Linked DNA regions of Neodiprion lecontei. The protein of the gene in region 1 purifies or fractionates together with the protein of each later gene. This does not show direct contact. Links are inferred from orthologs where the notes say so. Each region holds a gene or a part of one and is shown on either strand. Other genes may lie near its edges. The genes, in order: histone acetyltransferase KAT2A, molybdopterin synthase catalytic subunit, transcription initiation protein SPT3 homolog and DNA polymerase epsilon subunit 3.

The links.
Region 2: the proteins of histone acetyltransferase KAT2A (region 1) and molybdopterin synthase catalytic subunit purify together in Drosophila melanogaster (affinity purification with mass spectrometry; 3 studies listed by BioGRID, with this or other methods). This does not show direct contact. The link is inferred for Neodiprion lecontei from reciprocal best matches to the Drosophila melanogaster genes Gcn5 and Mocs2B.
Region 3: the proteins of histone acetyltransferase KAT2A (region 1) and transcription initiation protein SPT3 homolog purify together in Drosophila melanogaster (affinity purification with western blotting; 3 studies listed by BioGRID, with this or other methods). This does not show direct contact. The link is inferred for Neodiprion lecontei from reciprocal best matches to the Drosophila melanogaster genes Gcn5 and Spt3.
Region 4: the proteins of histone acetyltransferase KAT2A (region 1) and DNA polymerase epsilon subunit 3 purify together in Drosophila melanogaster (affinity purification with mass spectrometry; 3 studies listed by BioGRID). This does not show direct contact. The link is inferred for Neodiprion lecontei from reciprocal best matches to the Drosophila melanogaster genes Gcn5 and Chrac-14.

Annotation. Positions count from the first base shown.
Region 1 is NC_060263.1:36,091,666-36,098,280, reverse strand, and holds histone acetyltransferase KAT2A, read left to right. Parts: upstream 1-1,599; 5' UTR 1,600-1,694; intron 1,695-2,307; 5' UTR 2,308-2,334; coding exon 2,335-3,305; intron 3,306-3,419; coding exon 3,420-3,980; intron 3,981-4,058; coding exon 4,059-4,783; intron 4,784-4,855; coding exon 4,856-5,049; 3' UTR 5,050-5,917; downstream 5,918-6,615. Other genes in the region: protein shuttle craft, read right to left, coding at 1-1,291, 6,600-6,615.
Region 2 is NC_060263.1:10,688,574-10,693,607, forward strand, and holds the start of molybdopterin synthase catalytic subunit, read left to right. Parts: upstream 1-2,088; intron 2,089-3,829; 5' UTR 3,830-3,835; coding exon 3,836-3,976; intron 3,977-4,823; exon of another isoform or gene 4,824-4,984; coding exon of another isoform or gene 4,985-4,987; intron 4,988-5,034. Other genes in the region: molybdopterin synthase sulfur carrier subunit, read left to right, coding at 1,816-2,088. UniProt on the Drosophila melanogaster protein: Catalytic subunit of the molybdopterin synthase complex, a complex that catalyzes the conversion of precursor Z into molybdopterin.
Region 3 is NC_060262.1:4,441,847-4,446,605, reverse strand, and holds transcription initiation protein SPT3 homolog, read left to right. Parts: upstream 1-1,797; 5' UTR 1,798-2,263; coding exon 2,264-2,312; intron 2,313-2,477; coding exon 2,478-2,696; intron 2,697-2,807; coding exon 2,808-3,128; intron 3,129-3,479; coding exon 3,480-3,667; intron 3,668-3,751; coding exon 3,752-3,889; 3' UTR 3,890-3,905; exon of another isoform or gene 3,906-4,077; 3' UTR 4,078-4,107; downstream 4,108-4,759. UniProt on the Drosophila melanogaster protein: Component of the transcription regulatory complex SAGA, a multiprotein complex that activates transcription by remodeling chromatin and mediating histone acetylation and deubiquitination. The SAGA complex predominantly acetylates histone H3.
Region 4 is NC_060261.1:6,080,465-6,084,896, forward strand, and holds DNA polymerase epsilon subunit 3, read right to left. Parts: upstream 2,659-4,432; 5' UTR 2,436-2,658; intron 2,249-2,435; coding exon 1,871-2,248; 3' UTR 597-1,870; downstream 1-596. Other genes in the region: gamma-soluble NSF attachment protein, read left to right, coding at 2,932-2,981, 3,104-3,171, 3,247-3,331, 3,540-3,557, 4,024-4,231, 4,321-4,432. UniProt on the Drosophila melanogaster protein: Accessory component of the DNA polymerase epsilon complex. Participates in DNA repair and in chromosomal DNA replication. Histone-like protein which promotes nucleosome sliding of ATP-dependent nucleosome remodeling complexes.

The DNA.
Region 1 (6,615 bases):
ATACCTTTTGAATTATCCTTATCCTTAGATTTATCCTTGTCTCTGCTCCGTTCCCCTCTTTCCTCTCTTTCATAATTATTTTTGTATCCATTGTAATCTGCATAGCTAGTTTTCTTCTCCCTGATCCCAGATTCATACTTATCACTGTATCTGTCTCTTTTATCACGATACCGTTCTCCACGATCTTCATTAAAATATCTTCTAACACTCTTACCACCCGTTTGACTGTACTTCATCTCAGAATTGTGACTAGAATAATTTTGATCGCCGTAATACTTGGCTGAACCACCAGATTGTCGGGTATTATCATGTCTAGAGGTTTTATAGTGCTTATTAACAGTCCCCTCCACAGATTGAGTTGCGTCTTCTTCACCGTGATATGAACCGTTTTCAAAATTTTCTCGAACACTGGAATTACCTGTCCATTTTCTTCTATCGCTATCCTTATCGCTCGTATAATTAGAACTATTATCCGAATAATGTCTGGTGTTAGAATACCTATCATTTTGGAATCTGCGATTCTTCGGATTCTGATTCCTGACAGAATTCTTAAACAAATTGGTATTTTGATATTGAGCATCCTGAGTATCCCTCTGCTTATAACTATCGCCTTTTTTATTTGCATCATATTTCCTATCCTTCTTATCTCGCTTATTTCTAATATCCACATGGTCAACTTTCGGCATGTTCGAATCGTGGAAGGTCAAATTTCCCGAATGCTGAGTTGAGGAATCATAATTTTCCAGCATAATTCTGCCATTATTTTCACTACTACTGGCAGACGAGTTTGTCCCAGCTGTTTGCAGCGCCTTCAAGGAGCTAGGTATAAACTCACCAGCGGTTGCATGCAGGTTTGAATTCTCAACGACACTGGGATCAATCGTTTGCTGAGGGACAAACGGTAATTTACCGTGGTAATTCTTTTTCTTAAGTTTGTCATTCGGGTTCCCACTTTTGCATTTGAATGGCGGAAGATTAAGCTGCGATCTATTGTTCTCAAAGAAAGGCTGTGGCCTTGCATACTGAGTACCACCAGCCATTTGCGGATCCTGATAGGCATTGGCTAAGTGCTGTTGACCCAGGTTCGAGATACTCGGCTGCACGTTGGAGCCATTCTCAGGATAATAGCTCCAGTTGCGCGCCACGTTCCCCTGGTCCGAATACCGATGAAAATTTGGGTCCTCAGGCCCATAATAAGACCCATCCCAGCTTGCCATGGCAATGCCGCAATGGCAAAGGGACTTCCCCGGCTTCTGACTCCACCAGAGGGTGGCTTGCCTCCAACGACTTTCTGGAAATGAGTTGAAGGATTGCAAACTTCAAGAGTGGGGCAATATGGTGCAATGATCTGGTTATAAGCTGATCTCAAACGAACTAACCAAACTCCATAGTTTAACCAATATCTTTTAACGGAGTAAATTTACGCACATACCTGATAAAATGCGTCGTCGACTTGTGCGCGGGTTAGTTAAGGGTGTTTGGGGTATTTCAATCCGACGACTAGCGCAGCGTTGCGAATATTGATAAGGAAAGTAAGGTGGAATATTTTTACTTATTTCTTACCAGCGTTAAATCAAAATTAAAAGTAGGCAAACGCTCCGTGCGAATCACTTGAGAACGTGGCGTTCGGACGAACTAAAATCACGTAACAAATGGAGGCGCAGCGTTACAATAATATGTGAACGGAAGCTTTGGTAAATAAACATATTACAATTCATTATTGTTCTTGTCGTAAATTTAGACCTATTTATCATACATGTTTAATTATCCGCACTTGGAATACCCTCGACGTGGTGATGATAAATGATTAAATAATCCCTACTTGAGAGTATTTTTTTTCTCAGCTGTACGCACAACCCACAGCCATCGATATTTGCGCGAAAAATTAAAACTGTCAAAAAGGACATTGCGCCAACGATAATTATACTCATCGGGTATCTCACGAATGAAAATCTCGGTTATTTCGTAACGATTTTGCGTCGCATTGACTTCAATTTCAAATTCACATCACGTACTTTGTCTCAATGTTTTGTCAACAATTTACCCGGCCTGCGTAACCTTGAATTTACCCTTCTCGCAAAGTTCAAAATTCAATTTTCCTTCAATGAGTAGAGTCGATAACCAGCTATTTCTTGGTAAAAAATCAGTAATTGATTTTTAATTCATAGATACGATAATTTCTGATTTGAATATATAATCCAAAGTAATACACATTTTAATTCCCACTGATAATTCATTATACAAATCTGGGAAATCAAGAAACATGCTATTGAACATAAACATTGTCATAAATTTGATATTTTTCAGGTGTAGTAATTTTAGAAAATCATTTCAATGGATGAAACTACCAGAACCATGTCAGGTATGTCGTCTGAGGATCGAGTGCAGTCCGTGACAAGTACATCTCAAAACCTCGTGAGCAGTAACAGCGCAGAGTCAAGTTCGCCACGAGGTACGGACCAAGCTAGTCGCCAGAACAACTTGCAGAGGATTCAGCAACGCAAACATCAAGTTTTTAATTGGCCCCAGTTAAAAAAGCTATTGAAACTGGCAAATTACAGCTCATGCCAAGCCGACGAGTGCAAATGCAACGGATGGAAGAACGCTCAACCATTGACTAAGTGTCCAAAGAATGACATGCAGCAACCAGCTGCTAACTTTTCCGATCCATGTCGAAGCTGCACCCATGTGCTTGAAAAGCATATCACACATCTGCAATCCCAAAGCGATGACGAAATTAACAAACTACTCGGCATGGTCATCGATGTTGATAACATTTTCATGGGAATGCACAGGGAGGAGGATCCGGATACAAAAAAAGTCTATTACTATTTATTTAAACTTTTGCGAAAATGTATCCTGTCTATGACTAAACCGACAATAGAGGGACCTCTGGGTCAGCCGCCTTTTGAGAGGCCTAGCATAGCCAAGGCTATAACTAATTTTGTGCTCTACAAATTTGGCCATTTATCCCAACGCGAATGGCAAGCGATGTACGATTTAGCCAAGATGTTTTTGCACTGTTTAAATCATTGGAATTTCGAGACTCCAAGTGCTAGAAGAACTGCTGGTAACGCCGAAGAAGCACCCGCATATAAAATAAACTACACACGCTGGCTTGTCTTTTGTCATGTACCAGCTTTCTGCGATTCTTTACCACATTACGATACTACACTCGTATTTGGAAGAACTTTACTTCAAGCTGTATTCAAATCAGTCTGCAGACAACTCATGGACAAATGTCATAGCGAACGAGACAGAATGTCACCTGAAAAGAGAGTTCTAGTCCTGACGCACTTTCCCAAGTATGTGTAACGTTTTTCCTTAAATCTTAGATTTATAACAGACAGAAACTTTCGATTGTACTAATTCCAAATGTATATTCCAAATCACTACATGCCACATTTTCTGATCCACAGGTTTTTATCTATGCTAGAAGTAGAAATATACTCTGATGGCTCTCCTATATGGGATCCAGAGTTCAAACAAGTACCGCCATCACATTTACAAGCTGCCTTAGAATCAAAGGGGAATCACTCACGACGGCCTGGTGAATTCGAGAAAATCAGTGTAGCGCACAATGACAAAGACAATTATACGACAATAAATATAAGCCCAGGGCTAAAAAAACTTCCTGAAAAACGATCTCACTCAGAGGGAAGGCCTGATTTGAAAAGACGTAAAAATGAAGAAGCTTTCGAAGACTTGCCGGAAGAAACTGTAGCAGAAATTGTAGCGACGATAAATGATCCTAACTACATGTGCGGACCTGACGCAGTCTTCCCACCAAATGTGCCGAGAGACGAAACTGCAAAAATTGAGGAAAGTCGAAAGATTATAGAGTTCCATGTCATTGGAAACAGCCTGACACAACCAGTATCGAAGCAAACTATGCTCTGGTTGATAGGATTACACAACGTTTTCAGTCACCAATTACCCAGAATGCCAAAAGAATATATATCTCAACTAGTCTTCGATCCGTGAGTAATTCTTATCTCTTTTACAAAACTTTCAAGTTTCATTCTTACTTCTGGTTCTCTTTTAATATCTTTAAACAGAAAACATAAAACTTTGGCGCTTATCAAAGATGGTAGGCCTATTGGTGGAATTTGTTTCCGAATGTTTGCAACCCAAGGATTTACGGAAATCGTATTTTGCGCTGTGACAAGTCAAGAGCAAGTCAAAGGATACGGTACACACTTGATGAACATGCTCAAGGATTATCATATAAAAAACAATATACTGCACTTTTTAACGTTTGCTGATGAATTTGCGATCGGGTACTTCAAGAAGCAGGGTTTTAGCAAGGACATAAAAATGTCTAGACCCATGTACCAAGGGTATATCAAAGACTACGAAGGTGCTACTCTGATGCACTGTGAACTTAACGCTAAAATTGTGTACACAGAATTCACTGCAGTTATAAGAAAACAGAAAGAAATAATCAAAAAATTGATATATCAAAGGCAACAAGAAATACAAAAGGTGCATCCTGGCCTGACCTGCTTCAAAGAGGGTGTGCGAGGAATTCCTGTAGAATCTATCCCAGGAATACGGGAAACTGGATGGAAAAGTTATGCTCAAACAAGAACGAGAGGCGTCGCGAAAGGAACGCAGGGACCAGAGCCAATGGAGGCTTGTTTGGATGTGACAGATTCATTATACAACGCCTTAAAAAGTGTTTTGAATACTGTGAAAAATAATAGCACTGCATGGCCGTTCCTAAAGCCTGTTGATAAAAATGATGTCCCTGATTATTATGATCACATCAAATATCCAATGGGTAAATATGTTACATATGCATCGATTATTGTAATAAAGATAATGATGATTAATGATTTTGTCATATTTTCAGACTTAAAAACTATGAGCGACCGTCTTAAGGCCAGATATTATGTAACTCGGCGATTGTTTATAGCTGATATGACACGAATATTTACAAATTGTCGATTGTACAACAGCCCGGATACGGAATATTATAGATGTGCCAATGCGTTGGAAAAATATTTTCAAACAAGAATGAAGGAAATAGGTCTTTGGGATAAATAATGATGACTTCATCAAGTTTAGAGTGATTGTTCCCCATTTATTCTACAGCATCGTATTAATTATGCAGTGCAAACTCATTGATATTCACCTAACTGATGGCTGAGTACTGATTTTATGACGCGTTGTGCTTTATGCACTAAACACTTTTATTATTTATTATGCTAAACTATGAGTTACCCGATGTATGCTATTGCGTACTATGATACTTAGGAGAAAATCGTTTTCAAATGAATACGGTTTCGAAAATCTGCGTTAATTAATTTGTCAATGACTTGTGTAGGTAAATATTTCGGGTTTCAAAAGGATGTAAAACATATGTTTAATCTGAGTTGTTCTTAGAGCTAGGGGCCTCACAAAGTAAAGAACTACGAAAATGTGATTCCACAATTTGCCGTCTGTATATATTATCATAAATTGGAGAATAATTTGAATTAAGATTAGCTACTGATTAGTTCAATTTCGATTTAAGCAATGTTGGTCAGGTGCTGCAAGTGAATAATCCATGGATATACATACTTATGTATATGTAGTATACATACAATATATGTTTAAATAAAGATAACTGACTTTTGTAAATATATTTCTATCGATTAAATGACAATTTGGAAATTCCTTAAAAGACACATTTACGGCAGGAGAGAGAAATTCATATAATCAGTCCCAGGAATTTTCGTATGAATCGATGTACAACTCAGGTTTTGAATACTATTGCCGAAAAAATTGACTGAGTAAAACATTCAAGAATTTACTTGGGCACGGTATTTTCAACCATTGCATTGGAGTTCAACTACATTGCTTCATGGTCTAATTAATGTAACTAGCCAAATAGGTAATTAATTAATGTAATGCAGTGATTATAATAATGCCTCTCTTCATGGTCAGTCTCTGGAACACTGCTTTTCTCAAGTTCACGATAGCAGTCATGATATGTTGCTTGAATAAAACTTTCCTACTGCTCGTGATTCATTCATTATTTAGACGAAATAAACGAATTTCTTTTATTATTATCGCAAATTTGTATTCGAGTAATAGATATAAAAAGAAAGTCAAATTATTCTATTGTGGTCAGCAATGGGTTCCAATTACTTTGAGAAAGTTTCTTATCTCTTTCTGGTAGGAAGATTTATAATACTCTTGCATTTTTTGCGTTTCTGAAACAGATTCTGAACAGATGTTACAAGTCTTGGATATTTTTTTTTTCCAGTATTCGAAAAAAAATTTTATAACTTTCTACAAAAAACTGAAAACTAGTTTTGGAGTTTTAAAAAGTTTATGCAGAAAAATTGTCAGATCACTTTGTGCAAATATGCAGGTTTTCGCGTATCTATAACATAAATCGAACCGGATGTTTGAAGAAGATATATAATGCAGATGTATCTTCCTGGCACCGGGGAATACCCAACTTAATTTTATACTTTTATAACAATAGTGATTTTTCGAGACAATAGTATCGTGTTTTATCAACAAAGCTCATGCTGTTATCATTGTTTCACAGCAATGGGAAACTCTGCCACGCAACCGATGAAACTGAGTTCTATCTACATACTTACCATATTTTAACAAGCA
Region 2 (5,034 bases), about 25 Mb from region 1:
ATCGTGGTGCGGTGCTCATTCTGCAGACAGGATCGACAGGGATAAGGTTTAGTTGGGCATGTGTAACATATGTTTCATCCATATCCAATCGTGCAGTGAGGCGGTATAGGTAACATTCTCTTTCACAACTTGCAAGAAGCAAGTACCTTGTTACACCGTGTATACCTATTACAGCAACGTTGTCCTTGCCCCACAGCAACTTGCACATTCTTTCCTAGCTCCGGATTACCAGTATTCTCGATCCACCCATATCTATACTTAACTATGAGCACATTGTATTGCACGCGTACGCCTGCATACATTTGAATACTTACCCAAGGCCATCGCATGCTAACGCTATACACAGAGATACTAGCCTAGCTAGTCCATAGCTAGTCACCGTAGACGTTGTGTATTAGCTTTGAAACAGTGACGGTACGTATGAAATTGCCGTGCTACCATATGCCCTTGATCGATCATTTTGTACAGTGTAGCTACTATAGCTGTAATGTTAATTGACAAGAATCGAGTCGAAATGGAATAAATAGAACGTAATTCCGTATGAAATATTTTTCAGATTGTATGTCGTACAAGTATTTATTTTTATTGTATAGAATAGAACTAGAAAGAATATGATTGCACCAACATCTTGCACAAGGCTACTGCGTCTTTAAACTATACCACTACTTACGAGTTACTACCATAGTGCCACTCTCAGCTTTGTCCGTGATAGTTGTTCAATCATAGGTTTTTTTCTGGACACATACGCAGTGCGCCTTTTGCTTTCTGTATTTTACAATTTGAAGTCAACACCTATACTTTCATACCGTACATAATTATTTCCCAAGTATCATGACAGAACTGGTATAGTTCAAATAAGCAATTGAATATTCCATTTAGATTTCAGCGTAGCTTTGTATACAAGTATCACGAGCGCTTCAGCTTTGAAATAATTCCCATATTTCTACCAGACAACTTGCACGCTCATTTTCCTCCAAATGGAGGTTCTTCGATAAGATAATACATAGGCGATATTAATTTGACTGCGATGTCACCAGATGTGAGGATGCCGATGAATGCATGATAAAATATGCGTAGATAGGTATACCTATGCATATATATTTTATATAGATATATATAAATGTATATATATATATATATATATATATATATATACATATATATGGTTCCGTTACTTTTAACAGTACAGTTCCTGCTTTCGCATTCTAACTGGATTTCAGGCAGGTAGATAGGTATCTATTTTTCGTGCAATAATAAGGGCCCACGCCTGGCCGTTTTGTGCGACCATACTTCCCGTGACCTCATTCCGCCTTTGACCTGATTATCAAAAGTGCATTCGGTTTGGTCTAGTGAGGCGCCAGCTAACAGGTGTTACGTCATCACCACGGGCGTCAGCCTAGCAACAATTTTAAGGTCCAAGAATTGTCGAGCAGCTTGTCAATAAAAACAGAAATTTTTGCAACAGCAATAAATTGGTATGTATGGAGGAGATAACAGTAGAATTATACGTCAATTTGACGACTGATGAAGAAAGGCTGATTAATCACAGTTCTCCTTTTCGGCACGTTTCCGGTATCAGCGTTTTTCGACCGTACCGTACGCAAACATAACCTCGTTATGCTTCGTTACCAACTTTCCACCGATCTATTGTTCCGGGAAAATATTTCTTACGTAACGAGATAGTATTGGCTAATACCAATCGAGTAAACAGTGAACAATAACAATGCATGTGTTGAAAACATGTGTGGTGCGATAAAGGTCTATGCAAGTGCCAAGCAGAGCCAGTCGCTGTCGCCACTCTGTCGCCCATAGTTTATGATGGATGGAGAATCACGAGATTCGCTGGTAAAAATTCTCTTTTTCGCCAAGGCTCGCGAGTTGTCCGGCCTGAAAGAGTCTCGGGCTAAGCTGCCGGCTAACATCTCTTACCAATCTTTGTTGGATACAATTATTGAGAAATTTGGTCTCGAAAGTATTCGCGATTCTGTTATCTTATCTCTCAACGAAGAATACCTTGCAGCCAACGGAACGCTTAACCTATCCGACCAGGACGAAATTGCTGTTATTCCCCCGCTCAGTGGAGGTTAGTTTATCAAACATATTAACATTTATTTCAATTTATTTACATTTAATCATAATAATGATCAAACTACTTTGACTGCTCAGCGAAAAAATGAGAACTACGTAATTACAAAAGGTATACGTTTCTTCCTGACTGTTTTCGCACAAATCTTCTATCATGGGCATCTTTCGGAACCTTATTTCATTCAAGTAGTGAAATATGTTTTTCCGCCACATTCATAATAATACTATGCCGCAACGAGCGGCTGTACCATTCTCTATAGGGTCGAAGTTATGTTTCAGGATTGGGCAGTTGCCAGTATCAGTATCTTATCCTCGTATTGTACAATGCTGATGAAAATCGACATGAATACCATAATCATTTCCAGCTTTATCGCCGAAGGCAAGGAATATGAGGGTACCTAGAAGAACGTTTGTATTATTACATCCAACATTCAACAGCTTATTACAAAGTCTACTGGAATTTATGTGCCTTTAATTTTTAATTACCATGACAGCTCTAAACACAAGAGTATTGAAAAACCCAAGTTTGAAGAAAATAAACTGTAATTGGCTTAGCCATACGCCGTTTAATGTTGGATCACCACAAACTGCCAGAAACAGGCTCAACAATATGGATGTTCTTCCAGGAAACACAATATTCATTGATAAAATGTTGCACATAATTAACACAATTTTCGGAGAAAAGATTATTTAAACTCATTTCCCAGTATGTGTTACTTATCCAAAAATCTGAATTCGGCTCTTTTGTTCATAGCTTATAAAGTCTAGCTAAAGTCTAGACCATTCTTATGGAGGAGCAAAGCGTAGTAATAATGCCGAAGTTAGTAACCTTTATGTAACCAAACATTGCGGGGAGAAATTGTTATTTTGCAAGGTTATAGTGAGTTTGAAGTAGTTAGGTTTTCAAAATATGAAAAAGAATACAGTTTGCCTCATTATGATTTACTAAATTTCAGAGATTCCTGCAGCTGAGAAATAGCAATTTTTTAAAACGTTAATCATTGTAATAATATTATTAACTTCAGCCTCAAGCCTAGTAAAAGGAAACTTATTGGAACTGAATCTTGTCATTGGTTCTTGAGATATTGTTCGCGCTATTTTCAAATAATAGTTCTTGATTACAAAAAAGGAGTTTTTTTTCAGGGTTTTTCAGTATTTATGATATTTCAAATTTCTTAATAATGATCCAGCCTTTTAGCAAAGTATTCTTGGAAAATTTATGAGCTCAAAGTTTGCAAAGCTAAGATGAAGGAAAATTTTTTTTAAATCATGATTTTGGAACTTTAGTATGACTGAAAGAGTTACGTTTGCAAAATTTCATATTTATGCTCTGCTTTTATTTGAGTCAACTACTGTATTATGGACAACTATAAAGTTGCTAAATAATGATCAGACGGAAAAAATTCATCATTACGTTAATGTTACAAAGTTCAGCTTTACGATTATTTTAATTACTTACGATATTAACGTAAACGATTTAAATATCACCTTCAGTTTACTCTTGAATCTACAATGAGTTGCATTCACGAAGATTTGACATGCAGGGTCTGCTTTGATTCTTTAATCATTATCAAGAATTTCGATTTGTTTTCAAATTATTCAGTAAGAATTTCGGCCTTGACTTTAGAATTGTACTTATAATCGTGATTGTTCTCTGTTTTTAATACTTTTGGTTTCTTTGTTATGCTGTAAATTCCAATAGTCATTTTTGGGAATATATTCACAATCACAGTCTTTGTTGCAGGTTAAGATGAATGACTCAAAAGATGTCATTAAGCTGCAGACGGAACAGTTGAATATAGGAGGCATAATTAATCTGGTAGTTGCAGCAAATTGTGGAGCAATATCCACTTTCATTGGTACAACTCGGGACAATTTTGAAGGAAAGAAGGTACACAATTACTTGTACTCTAAGAAATTTAGAAGTTGTCACTGCATATGTAAAAAGGAATATCAATCATTCCATTTATTTGGTCATAATTTTTCTGACAATCGAACTGTGAAATCTAATTAATTTTGTTATAATGTTGATAAAGCAGACAAGTATCTATATTATTATTAGTATCCCTATTAATATAATTTCGGGAAAATACGCTACAAGTGATTTTATACTATCTCGTATTAATTGTGTCTGGATTTACATATCGGTTTTGCAGACTTTAGTTAATATTTCACGACCAGCGATGCCACTACGTTTTTTTACCGATATTTGGCCTTTGGCGGGGGGGCATGCGTATGTCTAACAATGAGACAATTTTATACAATGAAATAAAGGTTTGATCCTAATAGTATACATAGGAGTAGATCAGAATTCTTCAATCTTAAAGTTGAGGAGTCTGGAAATAGAAGGACTTCGAAATGACATGTGTCAATGACATTATGTAAATGTGGAACCTGGAACATTAGGAAATCAGAAACAAAATTATTTCTCTTATACAAAAATTACTATTCAGTATTCAAATCTCTTTATTCATTTGAACGAAGTTAGATACAAGTTAACAGGTATATATCAGATATTGTATCAATTTATGCAGCATGAAAGCCAAGTGTATGAAAAAGTAATCAAGTTGCGTTTTTCAAACAAATACAGTACAAATTCATATAAATCGAGTCGTTTAATTCAAGACAGATCTGAAGAATTTTAACTTTGGTTACTCTAATTTATTTTTTAACTAAAATTTTTTTTTAAAATGCGCGTAAAATGTGTTTGAAAAAAATTTCTATGTTCCAAAATCCAGGGCAGGGATTTCCATGCCATAAAAATGTCGAGGTCTGGTTTATACCATCCATGCTGGCAATGACGCCACTGTTCATGATGCTACAATTTCTTGGAAAGGAGTACTGACTCCTTCAGCTGATCAGAGTGGGGCGCACAGCGCCGCGGTTTTAGAGAATTGAAATGGTGTGTGAAGCGACCCTAATTCATATAAAATTTCGCAGAAAGTATTA
Region 3 (4,759 bases), on another chromosome or scaffold:
CTGCTTTCCGACTTCTAATTTTGACAATATGCCATTTTATCATTTTTTATTTTTTTTTCTTCATTTTAGTTCCTGCGATAGATATACTCATAATAATTAAGGGTCATTTTTAATTTTTTTTATTTCAGATAAGTGAAGCACCAAATCCATTAACAGCAGCAAGGTCAACTTTTTTCGAAGGGACGACTTCAGCACCATTTTTATATAATAATAAAAAAAAAAAAAAAATTGGTTGTCTGTAAAGTCGGTTTACGGACGATAGTTTGACGTGATAACGTCATAAAGAAACATTGATGAAAAATACGATTCAAATTGCTAGCTATGACGTCACGCGAGGCCTCGCTAGCTCAGCGACAAGTCCAAAAGTTATGATGACGCCATCTAGTATCACTGAATTTTTGCAACGTAAAATATCAGTAAATAGAGCTTAACCAACAACGGAGCTGCAATTAACCTATTTGAGCTGCTGTTTTGTTGTGGGTGAAATAAATTCCAGTGGTATCTAAGTGCCGTGAATCGTTAAACAAGCGAAATGCTATCGCAGGCGTTTCAGCCGTAGCCATGTTGACGTTGAGAGTGTGTGAATACGTGTATCAGCTGACGACGGAATATTTTATAATAATTTTGTTCGTTACTTTCGATTTAACTGTAATCTTCCACTGCTATTTCACCCACAACAATTTTGAATAAGGAATCATATCGTCACAAAACATTTGAAAAGTATGCTCTCGTCTTTGAGAATTCACGTTGCGAAATCCACTCGTCCGCGTGCACATGTGGTAGTGTCAGAAAAATAAAAGACATCACGATGGTTCACTCATATCATCATTACAACCTTTATTAAATGCCATACTAATATATAAATAATCCGATAACATACATATAACTTTTATAAATCTTTTTGCTGCACTATCAGATAAATAAGTTGGATTTTTAAATTTTCAATTTTCAAATAGTCCATCAATAAAATCTTTGGGCTTTTGCCCTCCAAACAATTAATTTATATTACCAGCCGTAGTAGCGTAGCGTGTAACGTCAAAGACTACGGAACGGGAGGATCTGAGTTCAAATCCCCAGCCTCTTTCACGGTAGCTCGCCAAAATTGTAAGACGGGCCACGTCATTCAGGCGCCGAATTGGCGGGTTGAAGTTTGAACTCGGTCCGGCAGCCACACGGACCAAAGGTTTTCTGCAGTTTTCTTTGTGTCCCTTGCGCTAATGCGGATGTTTCAATTGAACATCACAAGCAGACGGCTGCAGCCGCATAATGGTGGCCATGGCACCGTTATTTTAACCAAATTTTAAAATAAATGTCATTTAAGGACTTGTCATTAATACGTTCCGTATGGATTTTTTAGGATCTTATTTAGTTTGTTACAGAAATGTCACAAGGGGTTACAAGGGGTTAAGGATTTTTTTAAAGGATAAAATTAAATATGCAAAATAAAATATTTTATACCATTCTGTTTAGAGAGATGGCAAAAAGATATGGATCATCGACATAGCATCCGCGAACTAGTGATTGAGGACAAGAGTAAATGAAACGAAATGATGTTGACATGGAGAGTGATAATGATTAACGATAAGCGAGGTTTTCATCGATCTTGATGCGGCGATACAGACAGTATCGCAAGAGAACGTTGCGCAGACTGACGGTTTACAGAGCGAGAGAATACATAGATTACACACATACATGATATTGAGACAGTAGACAATACATGAGATACAGCTGCTGTTTTGAGTCGCGAGACTGGCAAGCGGCGAGATTTGACGCAGAGACGGCAATTAGTAAACATTGCACGCGAGTGCGCGTCCATGCGTGAGGACGATTTTGAGTGTCGCGAGACACACATTTGACTAATTCGATACTTTGCCGAAACAACGACAATACCTTTAAACAGTCCCCACTCAAGGTTGAGCTGCACGGTTGCCCACTAGAGCAGGAAATATCAGAAATGAATTTAGCAAAAAGCGAAGGGTACAGCATAGCAAGTCTTGCAATTATGATGATAGATAGCATTATGTGCGGCTACTGGACACAGAATATGTAATGACTGCATGTAATGAGAACTGCCTGACACTAGGCGCCGTTATTATTTTAGATTTCGCTGTACTCCAGTAACATTTAGATTCTAGGGTTACTACCCTAGAACAGACTTGGAACAAGAGTGGTTGGAACACCTGCCGATGTGATGTCTGCTACTAGCAATTTGTGTTTGTAAAGAAACAACAAAACGTAAACAAACATTAAAATTACTTTAAAAATGACAAGTGTACCTGACGTTAAAAATGAACCAATCAACTACACAGCGGGTGAGTGAAATATATAAATTTATTATATACGTATACATAAATATAAAGAAGGTAGAATTCTGTTGGTTATGTTTGTGACATAAGAATATGAAATCCATACCGCAGGCTCGTTCATTATCTATTATCCAATTTTCTCCACATTGCTGATGCTTATTTTCTGGTTAGAAATCCGTCAAATGATGCATGGATTTGGCGACAGTTCAGCCCCGCTGTTAGAGTCAGCAAAAATAATCGAGGATGTCGTACTGCACCAAATGCGAGCAATTGTTTACAGGGCGTGCGAAGTTGCTGATAGGCGAGGGAATAGAATAATAACACCTGAAGATTTTATTTTTCTCATGCGCAAAGATAAGGTCAAGGTTCAACGGCTGTTGAAGTACCTAGGCAAGTGGTATTTTTCTTACATTGATGTCTTATTAATTTTGGTACGTTGTGAATCTATCTCTGTAAACTAAATACATCCCTTCAATTTGATCTGTTTTCTTTTTGTTTCAGAAGTAAAAGAGCTGCGAGCAATAATGCACAAGACGGTTCAACCAGAGAGTATGGGGAATTTTTTCGAGGCTGACGGTGGCGAAGTTTTGACAAAGCGAAAACGTCCTTATCATGATTTCATTCAATTGATCGACAATACAGGGGAATTACTCGAAAATAGAAGCACTTTTGATATCGTTAAACAGAACAGACTGATCAGGGCAGAGATGGTCACTAGAAAAATGGATGAAATTCAATATGTGGAATACTCAAAGGCACGGCACGCTTCCTTCACAAATAACAAACAGCGACACAAATTCAGCGACTGGGTATGCCCGGATGGTAAAGTGAATTCAACCATATTATGTGTATAGATCAGGTTGGTTTTTTTAAGTTTCTTTTTCTTATGTACCCTTTGAAAAGTTAGTTTTTCGCCTCAAACGAAGTCTCGTAAAACTGGAACTCTATAGCAAAATTCTAAAACGTTACTCATCCGGTTTGAATTTTTCAAACACTCGAACTAAACTTTTAGAATTTTGCTACCGAGCTTCGGTTTCACGAGGCTTAATTTGAGGCTCAAAACTAACTTTTCGAAGTTTATGTAAGAAGAAAAAAAAAAAACCATTCTAGTATATACTTATATTTTTTTTCTGTTCAGTATCTAATCATAAATCGAATCTTCAACGCTTACAGATGATGTGAAAATATCAAAACAAGGCTACCAAATTTTGAGCTATCTCGCTTACGAAACTGTCGCGCAAATTATAGACTTGGCGCTTGTGGTCCGACAAGATCAGAGTAAGATTCATGGAGACGCTATTGAAAGGCTGAAACTAAACCACTGTAATCCCTATACCTACAAGCCTTATCAGCATAATATGGTAAACGAGATTATGGATTTCTTCTCCTTTACCTGAGTCACAAATAATTGGCCGCGTTCCATTATATAATCTCTTTGATTACAGGGAGTCGTAATAAAGCCAATCAGTCCGTCGGAAATAAATGAGGCATTGAGGAGGTATTGGTCACCACAGCTGGATATTACAGGGCCATTTTACAGATCATCTCTGCGTCCGCTGCACCCAAAATTACTTGCTTGTTGAGACATAGGCTGCGGAGGTACGAGCTTGTATTAAAATAATTGCAGGGTTGATGTTGATAATAGCTTCAGTTTATTTATTGTTATCGAGCCACGGCCGTTTTATATTTCAATATATGACTGCGATTTTGTTCTATATTACTCATTAAACTCAATAATCATGATATCAAGTGTATATTTCTAAAATTACAGAGCATCGTACGTACTACATTATAATTTGAGGAAAAACGCTAGATTTGGAATAAAAATACAAAGAAAAGTAATGACTACTTTTGGAAGTTTCTTGTTACGTATTTTACAAAATTCACGATTTACATGCTTACAATATTCTTTTTCTTTTTATTTTTCAGTCGTGTAATAAAATTTATCTACAATTATGCAAAGATCATTATCAGCATCACAGTATATGTCATGATTTACAATATAGGTATATTCAACGTGTATTTGTGTATCCTCCTCCTTTGATTATTGACCACAAATCTATTATATTAGAACTATACAATTTTGTCAATTATGTTTGGACGAATTATCATTATTATTAAACATATCGATAACATTTTAAAACATTCAACCGCTTACAAACTGCCCTAATTTTATAAATTACGGCTTGTCGAGGTTTTTAAAGTATTTCTTTTAAATTGTTTCAATACTGTTTCAGTAACAATTTATTATTGCCTAAGAAATAACACCTGAGAACTATTTTCTCTTTAAAAAACTTGTCTACTTGAAAATGGTCGTCCAATCGAAATCCATAATAGCTTCTTTTGTGGTTGTCCAATCACGTGTTTGAACTAAGATTTCATGTCCAAGATTTTTAACAATGACTACCAACATTTGTTCAACCCTTTTCTATAAATACGCGTAGTTTTAATAA
Region 4 (4,432 bases), on another chromosome or scaffold:
TGCATCACTATACAGACTAGACTTAATGTGCGAAGCTCAAGAGAACATGATGTTTCCAAGAAAATCATTGCATATTTATCCAGTATTTAAAAATAGTGTGAACATCTCAGAAAGCCAATGATAAAAATGCTTGGATAATATCTTGTTATTTCTACAGCTTTCTTTGTGTACTGAAATAGAGACAGAATTGAATGTGCAAGACAAACAATTTTTATTATAAAAACCATTGATATTTTTCATGGTGATGTATATTTCATTCTCAAGTTAAGTATCAAAATATTGGACAAGTTTCAACCAAAATCTATGATTCAAGTTGATGAGCACTTATCGAAAATGCAAATCATAAATATCTATGTATAATATTTATATACATTTGATATAGAATTTTTAATGTCTATTTGCTTATAAATTTTTCTATCAAAATTACATTTCTCAAAGAACGATATTAAAGAATTTAAATGTCCTTAAAAGTTTCTAAACTACTGTTAAAATATGAATAGTAAAGCCAAGTATGAATACAATTACTAATGCAGGATATGAAAATGATCCGAAATTATTCTAAACTACGAGTAATGGTAAATTTTTGCTAAATAACATTTAAGTGGTACTACTCGTTAAGAATGCCTAACTATTGGAAGGCGATGCTATATATATATACATCGCAGTTAATTCAGATGAAAAATTCTTTGATTACTAGAAATAATTAGAATTCGTTCAATTTTAATAAACAGCGCTGATCAAGAAAGGACGGCTTGAGTAGTCAATAATTTTATGCTAGTCTTTCTTTGCCTGTTTTGTAAACATAAAGTGCCATATATACACATACAATTAATTCTTACATATAAGATATTATTGCGATGTGTTTACCTATGTAAAGTAAGTAAACGGAACTGAGATATAAGCTAGGCATAAGATATAACTTTATAATATAGTGAAGGAGAAAACACAAAGTAAACCAATATTACAGAGCGAAATATGGATTCGATAGGCATGTCTCTAATTGATTAGACTTGCTACTATTGTTAAACAGAATACTAAACACTGTTCGTAGTGAAATGAAAAATTCCATTAATTTAGCATAGAATGTTCGAATTGTAGTCATTTCCTATACTGCACATTCTGCACTTGATTTAAAAATCCACATAGAAAGAACATTGCTAATCTTTCTTATTCTCATACGGAGTTTTAGAACATGCGGAGTAAATGTTTTTTAACCCTATAGTCTATACCTACCATTACTGTAAGCTCGCAAGATTGTTCAATTATTGATCTAATGATATTGAATGAAAAAAAAAAAGAAAACTACATATATATGTATATATATATTACTATGTATATTATTATGTACCCATTGAGATACACACTTTTACGAACGATTTCTGCATAAATATTATGTAATCTATTTACTCTCACACCAATATTGTCTTATATACAATTAATAAAATTTTCTGAGACTGTTTGCATATTGTTCGTCATACAATTCAATGCCACAAACTATTGAATTCGTGATACAATTCAAAAAAGCGGAAGCCTGGTGACTCACCAAAACTTTGTCAGAATAGTATGCAACCCTTCCATCACACGACCCACTTGTACAAAATGTATTGCAGTAATGATTTTGTAAAAGCACAGGTGTCACATTAACGATTCATAATAATGTCAATTTGGAAAAGGAGAAAGTAATAAAACATAAGTAGATACTTCGAGGGGAAAAATAATAATAATAATCAGGATTTGAGTGAAAAAAAAAAATATTCTTATATTATTCAATATAAATTGTGGTTTACACACAGCCTATACATATACTTAAGTTAAAAATCCGATGTATTAAATAGTGTGTGAATGTAAAAAATGCAAAAAAAAGTAGAAGCTACTCAGCGTCTTCGCAAACGATTTCTTCCACTTCTTCGTCATCTTTCTTCTGTTGTTTTCTCTTTGTAGTCGCATCCTTTTTTTCCTTTTGTGACTTTTTGAAATTTTCCAATGCCTCTTGGAGCGGTTCAAGAAATTGGTCAAACTCAATTTCTTCAATAGCTTGAATAACGTCAGTACCACTGATAGTTTTTCTTTTTCCTTTTTTAGCGATTGTATTGGCAGTTGACGTAATGTACAATATAAAAATCGAAGCAGCTTTTGCGACCGCCGCTCGTGCTTCCTTGCCAATATTGACTCCGTCCGGCAGAGATTCCTTAATTATTCTTGTTACAACAGCATTAGGGAGATTCAAGTCTTCTAATCTCTCAGCCATCTATTGAGGTGAAGCATTATTCGTTAATTCGCGAAGAGAGAATTTCAAAATTATATTGTCGTGAAATATTAAAACACGTTTTACAATGGCAGAAAAGTCGTCGAAAAAAGTGAGAGAAATTTTGAGGTTATAAAAACTACGATACCGAGAATTTAGACAACGTGATGAGAAAAATTGATGTACTTACCTTTAGCTTTTACGATTGAATGATTTTCAACGGAAGGTAAATAAAAAGTAGAATATCAGCAAGTGGTGACGTTTCAATTGAGTTTTACTTCGTTTTCGCCGATATTTCAATCAGATTTTATAAGTAATTATTGTATCACCGAGGGACGCGACTGTGAATTTGAAAATCAAATATAAACATGTCGTGTATTCGCTCCATAAACTTCATTCGCGGTAGGGTGATGTTTTTTATTTTATTTTTTTTTTTCCATCATGCGATCCTGAGACGCCATCTACAGGATTTTACAAAGTACCATATTTTCGTCTAGTTTTCGTGACTCATTGTCAGGACATTTGCAAATGAGTTTACGAACACGCCCAAGGTTTCTGCTTCGTAGTACGGAATACGTCGTCTGCATTTCACGGATTGAATTGATTTGACACAAGAAAATTTGACAGTAATATTTTTGCGGAAAAACAAAGTGATTTTACAAACGTGAGCCAACATTTTGAGAAAAATGTCGAAAATGGAGGAAGGAATGGCCCACATTCGGCAGGCCGAAAAAAGGTGAGATTTTTTTCTTAGTACATCAATCCAAATTAGAAAAGAATTTGATCATTTTAATTCCCTAACCAGTAAAAACGTACCATTAATTTAGATCATAATAATTTATTAATTTTCTCCCCTAGTTTAAAAACGTCACTTTTAAAGTGGAGACCTGATTTTGAAATCGCTGCTGATGAATACTCCCATGCGGGTAAATATACCATGCGATAATATATTTGCGCGCCTCATTACTGTCAATATTTAATCTTCTCCTTCCACTCAACAGCCACCTGTTTTCGAAATGCAAAAGCTTTTCAACAGTGCAAGGAATGCCTAATGAAGGCTTCAGACTGTCACAAACAGAACAGATCGTATCCTTTCAGACATCGATCGGTGTTTTTTGAATTTTCATGGTTTACTTTTTTATTAACGATGAATTCTATACATAATTTTCTTATGTCGAAATCGAAAGTTCTTGAATCAGTATAAAACATGCAGATCATGCGTCATAGTTTTCATCTGTTTCGACGAAACAATTTTTTCTCTGGTTTATAGTTAAATCCTTAATTAGTTTAATAGATGGTTTCACGCTGCAAAGTAAGTATGGCCAATTGACTCAAAGACTCAAGCAGACTTTAAAACTTGGAAAACGATGCTTGGTTTATAGAAACTGAACATACGGTATTTTATCAAGTGGATGAAAAAAAGCGAAAATGAAAAATATTTTCCAAATACAGAATGATAAAAACCAATGTATGCAAATCAACATTGTTTTTGTTTCAAACAATTATCTCAAGTGTTAAAATAATTTACCGAACCATATTCGTTTTAATTTGATCCAGATCTAGATCAAACCTAGATCAGATCTAGTCTTAGCATTCTTTGCCATGGCTATGATTTTACTCCCAAATTGTACGAAATTGATATAAAACAAATATCCGTTTTCATAAGTATAAAAGGCTTTCTAAAAATAGTTTGCATAAGCACCTTCAAAAAAAAAAAATGTTGAGCATACAAATAGTGGTTTCATAAACTAAATAAAGTGACTAAAAATGTTGTGTAGGAGTATGGAACAGGCACTTCTAGTGTGCAAGGAATTAGGAAATTTAACCGAAGTACCGAAATTGGCACATTCTGCATGTTCGTTATATCAGCAACACGGCTCACCTGAATCAGGTGCTTCGGTACTGGATAAAGCAGCTAAATTATTGGAAGCTACTGAACCCGCACAAGCTCTGGAGTTGTACAAGCGTGCAGCTGATGTTGTTATGGTATAAGAAATAATTTCATAATGACAAAAAGCCTGATAGTATTTCCAGCGTTAGAGATTAAAAAATAATACGGCTATAAAATGTTACAGAGTGAAGACAGTCCGAGACAAGCGGCTGAATACATGAGCAAAGTAGCTAGAATTCTAGTAAAACTAAAAATGTACGATCAAGCTGCAGACGCGATTCGTAGGGAGATTGGAA